Tribolium castaneum: one gene and its partners. The protein of the gene in region 3 interacts with the protein of the main gene of each other region in a pairwise test. Links are inferred from orthologs where the notes say so. Each region holds a gene or a part of one and is shown on either strand. Other genes may lie near its edges. The genes, in order: rin, Rsph3 and sina.

The links.
Region 1: the proteins of sina (region 3) and rin interact in a two-hybrid assay, tested with the Drosophila melanogaster proteins (2 studies listed by BioGRID). The link is inferred for Tribolium castaneum from reciprocal best matches to the Drosophila melanogaster genes sina and rin.
Region 2: the proteins of sina (region 3) and Rsph3 interact in a two-hybrid assay, tested with the Drosophila melanogaster proteins (2 studies listed by BioGRID). The link is inferred for Tribolium castaneum from reciprocal best matches to the Drosophila melanogaster genes sina and Rsph3.

What each region holds. Positions count from the first base shown.
Region 1 is NC_087397.1:6,619,614-6,623,863, forward strand, and holds the start of rin (ras GTPase-activating protein-binding protein 2), read right to left. Parts: upstream 2,924-4,250; 5' UTR 2,764-2,923; intron 2,421-2,763; exon of another isoform or gene 2,406-2,420; 5' UTR 2,357-2,405; coding exon 2,259-2,356; intron 644-2,258; coding exon 1-643. Other genes in the region: sqd (RNA-binding protein squid), read right to left, coding at 3,649-3,734, 4,118-4,180.
Region 2 is NC_087398.1:5,701,342-5,705,446, forward strand, and holds the start of Rsph3 (radial spoke head protein 3 homolog), read right to left. Parts: upstream 2,907-4,105; 5' UTR 2,589-2,906; coding exon 1,882-2,588; intron 365-1,881; exon of another isoform or gene 283-364; intron 1-282.
Region 3 is NC_087403.1:8,292,050-8,294,556, forward strand, and holds the end of sina (E3 ubiquitin-protein ligase Siah1), read right to left. Parts: intron 1,751-2,507; coding exon 1,494-1,750; intron 1,444-1,493; coding exon 1,263-1,443; 3' UTR 568-1,262; downstream 1-567. UniProt on the Drosophila melanogaster protein: E3 ubiquitin-protein ligase that is required for specification of R7 photoreceptor cell fate in the eye by mediating the ubiquitination and subsequent proteasomal degradation of Tramtrack (ttk).

The DNA of each region.
Region 1 (4,250 bases), on a different chromosome or scaffold from region 3:
CGCGGCATTCAACGGTGGTACAATCGTCGAAGGTTGGATGGTGGTGATGGGTGTCGGAAGGACCTGTCCTTGGCCCGCGGCGTTGACATGGGGCACCGGTCCGGGCATCACGTTGATATCGTCAGGATGCACGGCTCCGTTGACCTGGGGCACCGCCGGAGGGGCTAGAACATGCGGGGGCTGGTGGTGGGGCACCGGCGCAATGTTAGTCGGGTTGTAGTAATTCATGGGGGCTTGGTTCATCTGCTGGACGTCGTTCAAAACCGGGCACTCTTGCGAAGTCTCGTCTTCCGGTTCGGAGCGGTTTTCCGGTTCGCATTCCTCGTCGGAGATGATCTCGTCCTGGTATCTGAAGATGTCATTATGAACGTAGTACTTTTTGGGACTTTGGGCGGCCAATACGAAGGTTTGAGTGAAACGGCGCATCGGCTGACCGGCGTTGGATAACTCGCCGGTCACCTGGACGACGACACCGCTGCCGAGAGTGGCTTGGGAGTCGACTTGGGTGATCTTAGCGTGACAGTCGTGGAAATTCAGCTGCTGGATTTTTTGGTGGATTTGTTTCTGGCCGATGACAGGGCTGGTCTCCCGGTTTGGAGGGTCCAAACCGCCATGGATGAAAGAGGAGTTTTGGTTGTAAAATCTGAGAAATCACAAATTATGTACCTTTCTCGTAGCGTCTTGATCGACGTTTTGTTACGTTAGACAAATTTGTTAAAATAAATACAGAGGAAACTTTATCAGTTCCTGATGGTAGTGTCGTAATACTTCAGAAAAAATCAAAATACATTAAGAAGCTAAGACGATTGTAAATACTTTACATAAAAACCCAAATTACAGCAACTGGGTCACGATAGATGGCTTTTTGTTTCCCACGAATATGTTTAAATCTTTTAAGTCAGATAGCTTCAATTGAGACATTACACTAAGAGCAGTAAAAAGCACTTGCAAGAACAATGATTCCGAATTATTGATGCAGAAAGTAGTTTACCTTCTTCTACACAATTTGTTTTAATTTAATTTGAAGTAAAAAATTATTAAATAACGTCAATAAATACTCTGTCTTAATCTTTTGCAAAAAAGATAATTCTGTTTTAGCTAAACCCTGTGTAAGGTTAGGACAGCTACTACGAGTTTGTGTAATGTGTACCCTTGACATTTCATTTTTGAAAAAAATCTTAGGTAATACTCCCCTGACCTTACCTTAAGGTTTGATAAGAAAAGTCTTCTGAAAAACTGAATGAAAGCCAAAGCTTTCAAAAGTATAATTCGATAGAATTCCAGAATATAATTACGACTTCTTTCTCTAAACCGACCCATAAATTAATATGTAAATACTCGCAAATACAATCGAAACCAAAATCTTGTGAACTGTGAAGGATTCGTTTAGTTTATTGATCCGTAAACGCTCTTATAAAACACGTAAAAATATTTCAAATCGATGCTAATAAATCATATTTATTTTAATTTAACTAAAAAATAGTTCAATGAGTATTATTATACCTATAAGCATTTTTTGTTATTTTGGTTTGTAGAATGCTCGTAATAGTTGTTTTCACGTGTGTGATGTAATATGGTTTAAAGGTCATTCTTGTAAAAATGCCTCACCTCGAATTGAAGCTTTGGGAAATGAATTATCCATGCTTCAATTAAGTTTTTTCAAAATAAATAAATAAATCATAGTCACTGCTGTGCAATTAAAATTAATCTAATTAGTGTATTGATAAAACAGTAGGTATCTTACCTTCGTAACCTTGTTCAAAATAAAAATTCACTAGTTAACGCATTGCAAGGACACTTTCTGTAACTATCACACCGAGAAAAATTAAGCAGAATTTAGGAATACAACTAAAATATCTGTACGGTTTTCTCTACAAACGAAACTCAAATTGATTTTGGTAAACAAATTAATATTTTTTGTGATGTTGATAGCGATTTTTTTACAAAAGTTCAATGACCGTTCCTCCAACTCGACGCCTATGAACAATTGGCCAATAAAACTATAAGAAATAAACATATTGATATGGAATTCGTAATGCAGCATGGGCGTGCATCCACATTTATTGTTGTTAAATAAATCGCCACATATTACACCTCATAGACTGTTACAAAACATCAAACAGAAATAAATATTATAGCGAATTTCATTTGAAAATCCTACCTATCGCTCAACACTTGGTAAAAATTTGCATATTTGAAACAATTAACACAGGTGATAAATATGTTTGGCTGATTTTTGGGTGTAAAAATGTGCTTACCGGTGTAGATGGGCAGGGGCCTTGTTCAGCAAAGTGTAGTATTGTCGAACGAATTCCCTTCCTACACTTTGGGGAGATGGGGGAGCCTCCATTACCATTCCTGAAGAGTTATTTACAACTTGAGAAAACGTGCACCAGCAAAGAAGCCTGAAAACGGCAAAACTACCAGCACGCCTTAGGAAATAATCCCAATAATTCGGAGGAAAAAAATGTTAAAATGTGATAGACAAAGGGATTCCATAATTATTGCACACATGGAATGCAGATAACGAAATTTTCACCGAATCAAGCCTTGAGGCCAGTCCGGGCTTCGAATTTCCTTCCATCGAGGCGTTAGAAGGGAAATTCGGGGGCCAAGAAGTAAACAAATAGTCAGGATAGGGTGAAATAACCGCAAATTCTGCACGGCGAGAAAATGGATCATTGTCCATGTCGAATCCAGGAAAACCCGGTATGTGATAATGAACCAAAAAGGGGGAAGAAAGTCGCGCTTTCATTCACTTACCTCTAGATAGTCGGCGAAGCGAGCTAAGGAAGTATTTTCGGTTAAATTTAATTATTAACACGGTAGAAATGTGATTGAAATGCACAAACGCCGCAAAACCACGGGTGTAAACTTCATAAATTGCCAATTTAGTTACGATTTTGGACACCTTAGCCGACAGCGCCACTCAAGGACGTTTTTTAATCTAGAACCCAGGATTTCTTCTATCAATACGCATGCACAAACGGAAGTACCCTGTATTGATTTGGCGCCAAACTTAAAATTTACAGAAAATGGAGGGATTCACATGCACCATTTCGTCGCTTATGCTGTTGGCTTGCACCTTTAGAACTATTAAACACATGAAGGGTGGCGGAAGAAAATCAACAGTTTCAGTAAAAATGTACTCTATTTATTTCCAAATTTTATTAGACCACAACGGCGAACTGTCACAATAGAAATTAAAAAACTTTAAATTAATCAGGACACACATTATAATACATGTAGAGGATATACCTGAATGATGATAAATTATGTACACAAATTTTTTATTATTAAATTGTCATACAGTGGAGGAAGTACATGATGCCCCCCTACACAGATTACATAAACTTACTCTAAAATTACACTATCACTTAAGTTAACGTAATACAATGAAAAACCGGCTTGGCATTCCTGACGTTTAAAAAAAATAAACGGCTTTTTTATGCTTTATAGAAACTTAAATGTTCTGTACAAATTCGATACGAAAAATTGACAGATGAGAAGTGGAATGATCATATTCAAATCATCAATCGAAATATCAAATAAAAAAAGTAACTGAGAAACATCTATAAAAAAAGTAGATGATCAAACAGGCTATCAGTCAGACCAACTCACATACCAAAATGTGTACTACAACTAAATCTAATAGGGTTGATGCCTTTGGTTACGGCCGCCACCGCCGCCACCACCTCCTCGTTGTTTACCACCCTGATAACCCCCGGAGCCACCTGAAAAGAACAAGCAGTATAAAAATTTAATTAGTGATAAATCCTACTCACTAATAAAACTCAAAATATTCTCGCCACCTGCGTTGTTTGTTTGCCAGTTTGTTCTTCAAAATACTTTTTATAAATACTCATTTTTTTAAAAGATATAATCACTTCATTTTTATTTAAATTAGAATGCTGCAACCCTACAATGGTCATTTACTAATTTTTTAAAGATTAGTACGTGACGCAGTGAAAAAATACACGATGGTCTTACTGATTTTTTTTTGGGTAAACGCAGGTTACGACTATTGCTACATTAAAACAAATTTGTTTACTAAAAAATCTAATTTGAATTTGAAACAACACACAGTAACAATAAATGTAACATGATCAGTATGTACCTTTTCCGCGCGCACCACTGCGACCACCACCATATCCTCCGTCATAGTTACCATATCCATAGTCTGCATTCACGTAAACAAAAAAATATCAGTTAACTGTTTTCTACTATAAGCAAAACCAAAGAAAATTACG
Region 2 (4,105 bases), on a different chromosome or scaffold from region 3:
CACGCGATGAGATTCCTCCTCTTCGATATTTTGATGATGATTGACTTCTTAGGATTTTAATGAGATTGCCTTGAACTGTTCCTAATCTACATAAGTAACTAGCAGGTAATCGATTCTGATTACTGATTATCCGGATTTCCCACTCATAATTTCGCCAAAAATAGCATCGATCTTGATTAAAGATTGGAGATTAGCGTAATAGCATTAACGAGGTGGAGCTTGTTCTATTATTAAATGCACTAAAGTATCTGTAATATTCTAATAATACAAAAAAAAATGTTTCGCAGTCAGTAGGATTCGAACCTACGCTCCCAGAGGGAATCTGATTTCTAGTCAGACGCCTTAACCGCTCGGCCATGACTGCTTATATCCTGCTACTTTCACTGACGCGAACGAAAGTTCGAATCCTACTTTAAAATTAGAACATTTTTATTTTACGCTGAAAGATAAAACTAATACACCTTATTGAATTTTCGACTAATGGTTGCATTATAATTTCATAAGAGAAGTTACTATAAATAGCTTGTAACTACCAGTGTATTGACTAGTGAGTCTAATGAACTATCACCTAATAAGATTCTAATTTTTCAGTTTATTTCTTTGCACAATAGTATGCCGAGTTCTTTGTTTTTACCAATTCACGTTTGCTAATAAGTTTAGGAAGAAAGGAAATATGTCGAAATTTTTCTAATTAACAATAACATAAAAAATTTGCTTTTTACAAGTCTACATCAATAATAATGGTCAAGTGTATTCGTAATATAATTGCAAATAGGTTATCACGTTGGCAAAAACTATAAATTGTAAGAATATTTCAACACCTTGTAAAGTCAAATGTGTTTTTAACATATTAAGCACATTCTGGCATGACTGTACCGCTCATTTTTTAATCATGGCACGCACATTTCTTCAATAAATTATTTTAAATTAAACGCTGGAGACAAGAAGATAATTCAGTTTAGGGATAAAACAATGCTATTTCTCTTTGAAGTGTAAATCTAATAAACTTGAGTGGCAATTTAATTATAGAAAGTTCCACTCACGTGCAGTTTTGGCTTTTTAAAAATATAATAAAAATGTAGAGTACAGTGAACTAATCGATATTTTGTCATAAAATAATCATAACCCAGATCTACGTTTACCTTGAATGAAACTTTAAAACTTTACGTCAGTCTGCAAAAACCCTTATTACATTGAAGGGGAAACTATACAATCAGCTCATTTATTATTCATGAGAAATTGTAGAGGAAAATACGGGATAACACTTCGGCCTAGTGCCATTTCCTGTTTTCAAATAGACAGCCACATTTTACATTATTTAGCTGAAATCGGGTCAATCCGACTTTTATTTCAAATGAGGATTTGGTATTCGTGAATGTGTAAAGTAAAGTTTGGTGAAACAAAATCTAAGGGTCAATAGTCTGCTAACACGAAAACGGGTTCAAGACTTTTTATTTTTTAAATAGTGCGCTGTAGCTTCATGCAATTTCGAATAAGCGGTAATAATTTCGACTATATTTTGCATACCTGTCAGTACGTTATTCTAATTTATACAAGTAGTACACCTTAAGTAATTTATTCTCTAACCTCATTTTAATTTAAAATGCTTGCAGAAAATAAAAAAGAAACAGTTTTCTAATTTAAAGTTCGAAGAGTTGGTTAAAAATGGTGGAGGCGCCGGGTAAATAAAAACCCACAGTTGGAGAATAGTTAATCTAATTATTTTTTTGTCAATTTGATATCTAATGTTCAATAAGCAGCTGTTATGTTTGTATTTCAGTGTAAAAAAATTATTAAAAAGCTGAAAAATATCTAAGTGCGTGCACATTGTGATAAATTTGGAAACACGTGTCTGTACCGCAATTATTTCCCAGAACTTACAAAGCTCGTTTGTTGACATTACTGTTAACATCTAGATCGGTTTGAATCCCCGCCACCCCGGCAACCACGCACGCCGCCGCCTTCGCCGCCGCCTCACATTTCGCCTTGTGAACGTTCTTCGCCGGTGTTCTGTTCAACACCCTCGGCTCGCTTGCATACGCGTACAACTTTTTAATTTCTTTCTGCTTCGGTTCCTCCACTTTAATGCCAATCAAAGTGGCTATTTCCGGGGGCGGCTCCAGAAACTGCCCCTTCTTTACCGTCGTAACAAACGGCTTCCTGCCATTATCATTCTTACTTTTCGACTCTTTCTGGAGCTTTCGCAGTTTAGCGTCGAGCGTTTTGGTGAATTTTGTATCGACTTGTTCTTGCGGTTTGATTTTTGTAGCGCTCGTTAAATTCCCGTGGGAATTGCTAAAGTTCTTCTTGAGGTTGTAGTTGTTTTTGTCTTGAGTGGTGTTGATGTGGCCGTTTGATCTGGTAAAGGTTTTCTGTTTGTTTTCTTCCAAGTTGGTGTCAATGCGTCGAGTTGGATAGACGATTCCGTTCGGTTTCTGTTTTTGGTTTTCGCGGCCGAAGGGTTTCAGAATTGCCTCCCCTATTATGGTTATGGGGAGGTTGTCTTGGTTGAGGACTTTAAAGGCCACATCATCGTCGACTTCGTCCGAAGAAATCGAAACTACCGGAGGCATCGCTAAGTCGGTCATCGGTAACAATTTCAATAAAACATCTTGACAGTCTCTTTTTCAGCCTTCCAATTCCAGAAATTCTAATCTACTTATTGCTTATATTCGATTATATTGCCTATAATTAATTATTGAAAAAGTTGGACTAAAAATAAACTTTCTATCATCTATTATTCGGTTCTAGCTACTCCAAAAATAATTTTCTTTAGTATCGATATTGGGTTTTCACTTTTTGTGTGGAAAAGCTCACTTTTAACTATCACATTATTTCGTCGGTCTTTCGGATCGGCGTCGCGACGCCGACATATGTTACGATTGACCGGTCTTTCACAACTGACCGTTGTCCATTCGAAGGCGGTTTGAAGAGGTGGCGGCGCATGGCTACTGGGGGCGGCTTGCTGAAGAAGGTTCTTACAACTATAGCCGCTATTGATTTTCATACCACAAATTAGCAAAACATTCTTAATCAATTGTTAATAAAACTAACAAAACTTGCAATTCCTATAACTCAAAAACAATTTTCCAAACTGATTCGTCCTTGTAGTTTCGTTGAACTCTCCGATAATCTTTTCAACACAGACGGACATTCTTTATGTTGTTCCAACAGCAATTAAAAACGGAATGTTGGAAATAAAACAAGCGTCTTATTGGTAGCATGTCGTGACTTTCAAAATGTCCGCAGTAAAGGTATTAGCATATCTGTCGGTCATCGGCGAACGCCATCACAATGGTTGGTTGTTTCAGCTCACGGTCAAGGGTGAAGTACCCTCGGCTTCTGAGGTCATAAAAAGCGATAAAAATTAATGACCGGATTTAGGTGGGCTAAACTTAGAAAAGGGATTGCTCATTTTAAATTACTCTCTTTGTCCTTCAACATTTTTGTTAATAAATAAAAAGAATTATTGTAATTGTAATTGTATTGTATTAATTTTTCGCAGTTGCAGCTTTATGAGTTCATACCTACCTATTCCTCTAAATTGAATTATGATTGATTTATTGAATGTTATCATTAATGTTATCAGCTATTGTGCACTTTTGGGTCAATCATCATATTAATAGATAAGTAGCTGATACATAATCGATAATTAAGTAATTTACAAAACGATTGTTTTCATTAGACGAATCGCCACGTGTGAAAAATGAAATTTTAAAAATTTATTATTAGTAATTATTTATCTGTGTTTTTACTTTGTAAACTATGTGTATGGTTACTTCAGGCTCCGTTATTTTTTTCCTTGTTATGTTCAAAAAGTGTTAACTAGAAAATTGGTCTTTAACCTGAATCCAATGAAGTGTATTACCCCCAAGGATCGATTCATTTTTTAGAATTGTCTAGATCAAACATTCATCGGGTGACACAGTTACAGGCATACTAATTTTACTTCCTTAACAAACAAAAATGATATAAACTTTCTTAAATCAAACAGAACAGCAACAATCTTAAGTTGGTGCAAAATTAGCTGCCGTTAACAGTATTTTTCTAATATGTCATAAATATGATGAACATTCTGCCCATCTTTTTAAAAAATCTGCTTGGA
Region 3 (2,507 bases):
TATTGTACGAGTGCATAAAAATCGATTTCATGTTTAAAACTACCACTTCAGACTAATGAATAATGAAGCTTTAAAGACTAAGGAAAAGGCTGACGACGCTGACACTGCTTGCATTAGAAATTGCTTTTCCCCTGAGAGCTATTTTTTAGCTTACTTTATTCTTTTTCCGAACGACTTGCACAGCATTATCAAAAACGGGCGCATTAGCGTATCCTTCCGAAATTTTTTAACTTTATATTTTTCAAAAAAAAAGTATTTTTAGTTACGAATATTTTTCTCAGCCCTATCAAAGGTTGTTTCACATGGTTTGCATGGCTGCACATGTTTTATGTGACTCAAAGATCGGTTATTGTTACTACTTATTATCTCATCATCACGATAAGATTTTTATTGCGATAAAAATCATTACTCCTTTAGGTACATTTTCCCCTATAGTGTAGGCAACCGTTGATTCTCGTGTAAACTCAACGTAATTGTAAGAGATGGCGCTTTAAAAGTGTGCACCGAGCGCCACACCTCTTCGGTGTTTTACCGAATCGAAGGGCTAGGGTTTGAAATAAACTTCAGTTTTAGAAAGTTAAACAAAATTTATTGCGTATTTTACATTAAGCGAAGCAGAAATAATCGAACATATAAACTACAAGTAGTTGAATAGTCATTAAATAAATAGTGCCCATTATTACAATGTACAAGGACAAATTTATCATCTAACATAACAACTATAACGACTTATGACAACTTAAGCTAAAACCCATAAGCAAACGAATTCCACAAATTGAACACACGTAAATTAATCTTACAAGAGGTGGGTTTTTTACACTAAATATTAGATAACAAAATGTGGAAAGTAATGTACATAAAACCTGCACTAGTTTCAAAACGGTTATAGCAAAGTGGGTATTAGAAGAAATATGTTTATCACAATTTATTAGTTGGGCTGACCTGCAACGTAACACATTCGACCTTACCTTTTGTGTATCACTGTGAGGTAATAAATTATTGGACTACAGTAGTTTTTTGATTAAGTTTATTCGCAACGAAACGAAAAATCCATTAAACACAGCAATATGTAAGTATATATCATAAAACAATGCCATTTCGAAGCAGTTGATCAAAAAAGTAAACTCAAAGTAAAGTCTCAAAACAAAATCTTGTCACACAAACTAAACGAACAAAAGTTTTAAATGAACAATAATGTATAGGATATGTATATATTAACTTTACATGCTAATTAATCATCGAAAAATAATCGAACTGAAGGCTCAACATACTAGAGAAATGGTAACATTAATACCCAAATTTCCGTTGTCAGCAAAGTGTTGGGCTATAGAATTATCAAACGCTAAACAATCGGAGGCCATAATGGCCGAAGCGACCCCCTCATGGCTGGACCTCGGCATGGCTTCCCAGATCAGACGTCGCCTGTTTCCGTTAAGCTCCAGTCTAAATAAAAAAACACTGTGAATACTAAAGAACAAAACGCTGGGACTGACCTATAGGCGAAATGTTCGGCCTGTTTGCGCGAGCCGATCAACTGAACGATTGCAAAGAATTGGGTATGACCATCATTCTTCTCTTGTTTTTCCAACACTAGCATAAAATGATGACCGAAACAACTCTGCATCATCACCCAATCGACAGCACCGGCCAAGTTGATCTCAGTGGCCAGGAAAACGATGTCCTCGCCGTTGAGCGTTGTTATGTTTTTATGGGAATGTTGCAGATGTACCATTACTTTATCTAACTGACCCTGCGCCCCAAACATTTTTTTACTACGCACTGCCACGTGCACCCACACCGAGGCAAAAGTCACTCTTAAAAAGGTGCACACCTTGTTAATGTCACGAATGTGTCTAGTTGACGAGTAATCCAAAATTACGTCAGTTCCGAGATTATTATTACCACTGATAAGTATAAATATATTTTATTTAAGTTAATTTGACTAAAACCTTGCACATGATGCTATGAACGCTCCGGAACTCCTAAAGCCCTTAGCGCCGATTTATCCACCAGTTTATATGAAAACGCTTGTTTTCGGCAATTTCTTGCTAAAAAACGCGAAAATTGATCGTGAAAGACTGAAATCAGCTTATTTTGACCGAAAACGCTTATATGAATTGGTCTTAGACGATCCCGTGCTAAAAAACCCAAAACTCACTGAAGATTTTAAAGAATTTTAGAGCCGACTGCGAAAAAATGTAATATATACATAATATTATTGAACCTCCTTACCGTCTATATCAGTTTTTTAATGTAAAACACTGAAATTCATTAAAAAATCAAAACTTGTAGTTTGACAATACCGTGTATTATTTCCTAGGAAATCGAAACTATAATTATTAATTAGATTTCAAAAATAATTCATTTTATTGTTGATCAAATTCTATGCGATCAGGATTGTTCGACAATGACTAACACGTATCATTTATTTAAAATTCCATATTTATATCAATAACTTCAATATCTACATAGATTTTTTTTCTATATGTAAGCATTTCTATCTACAT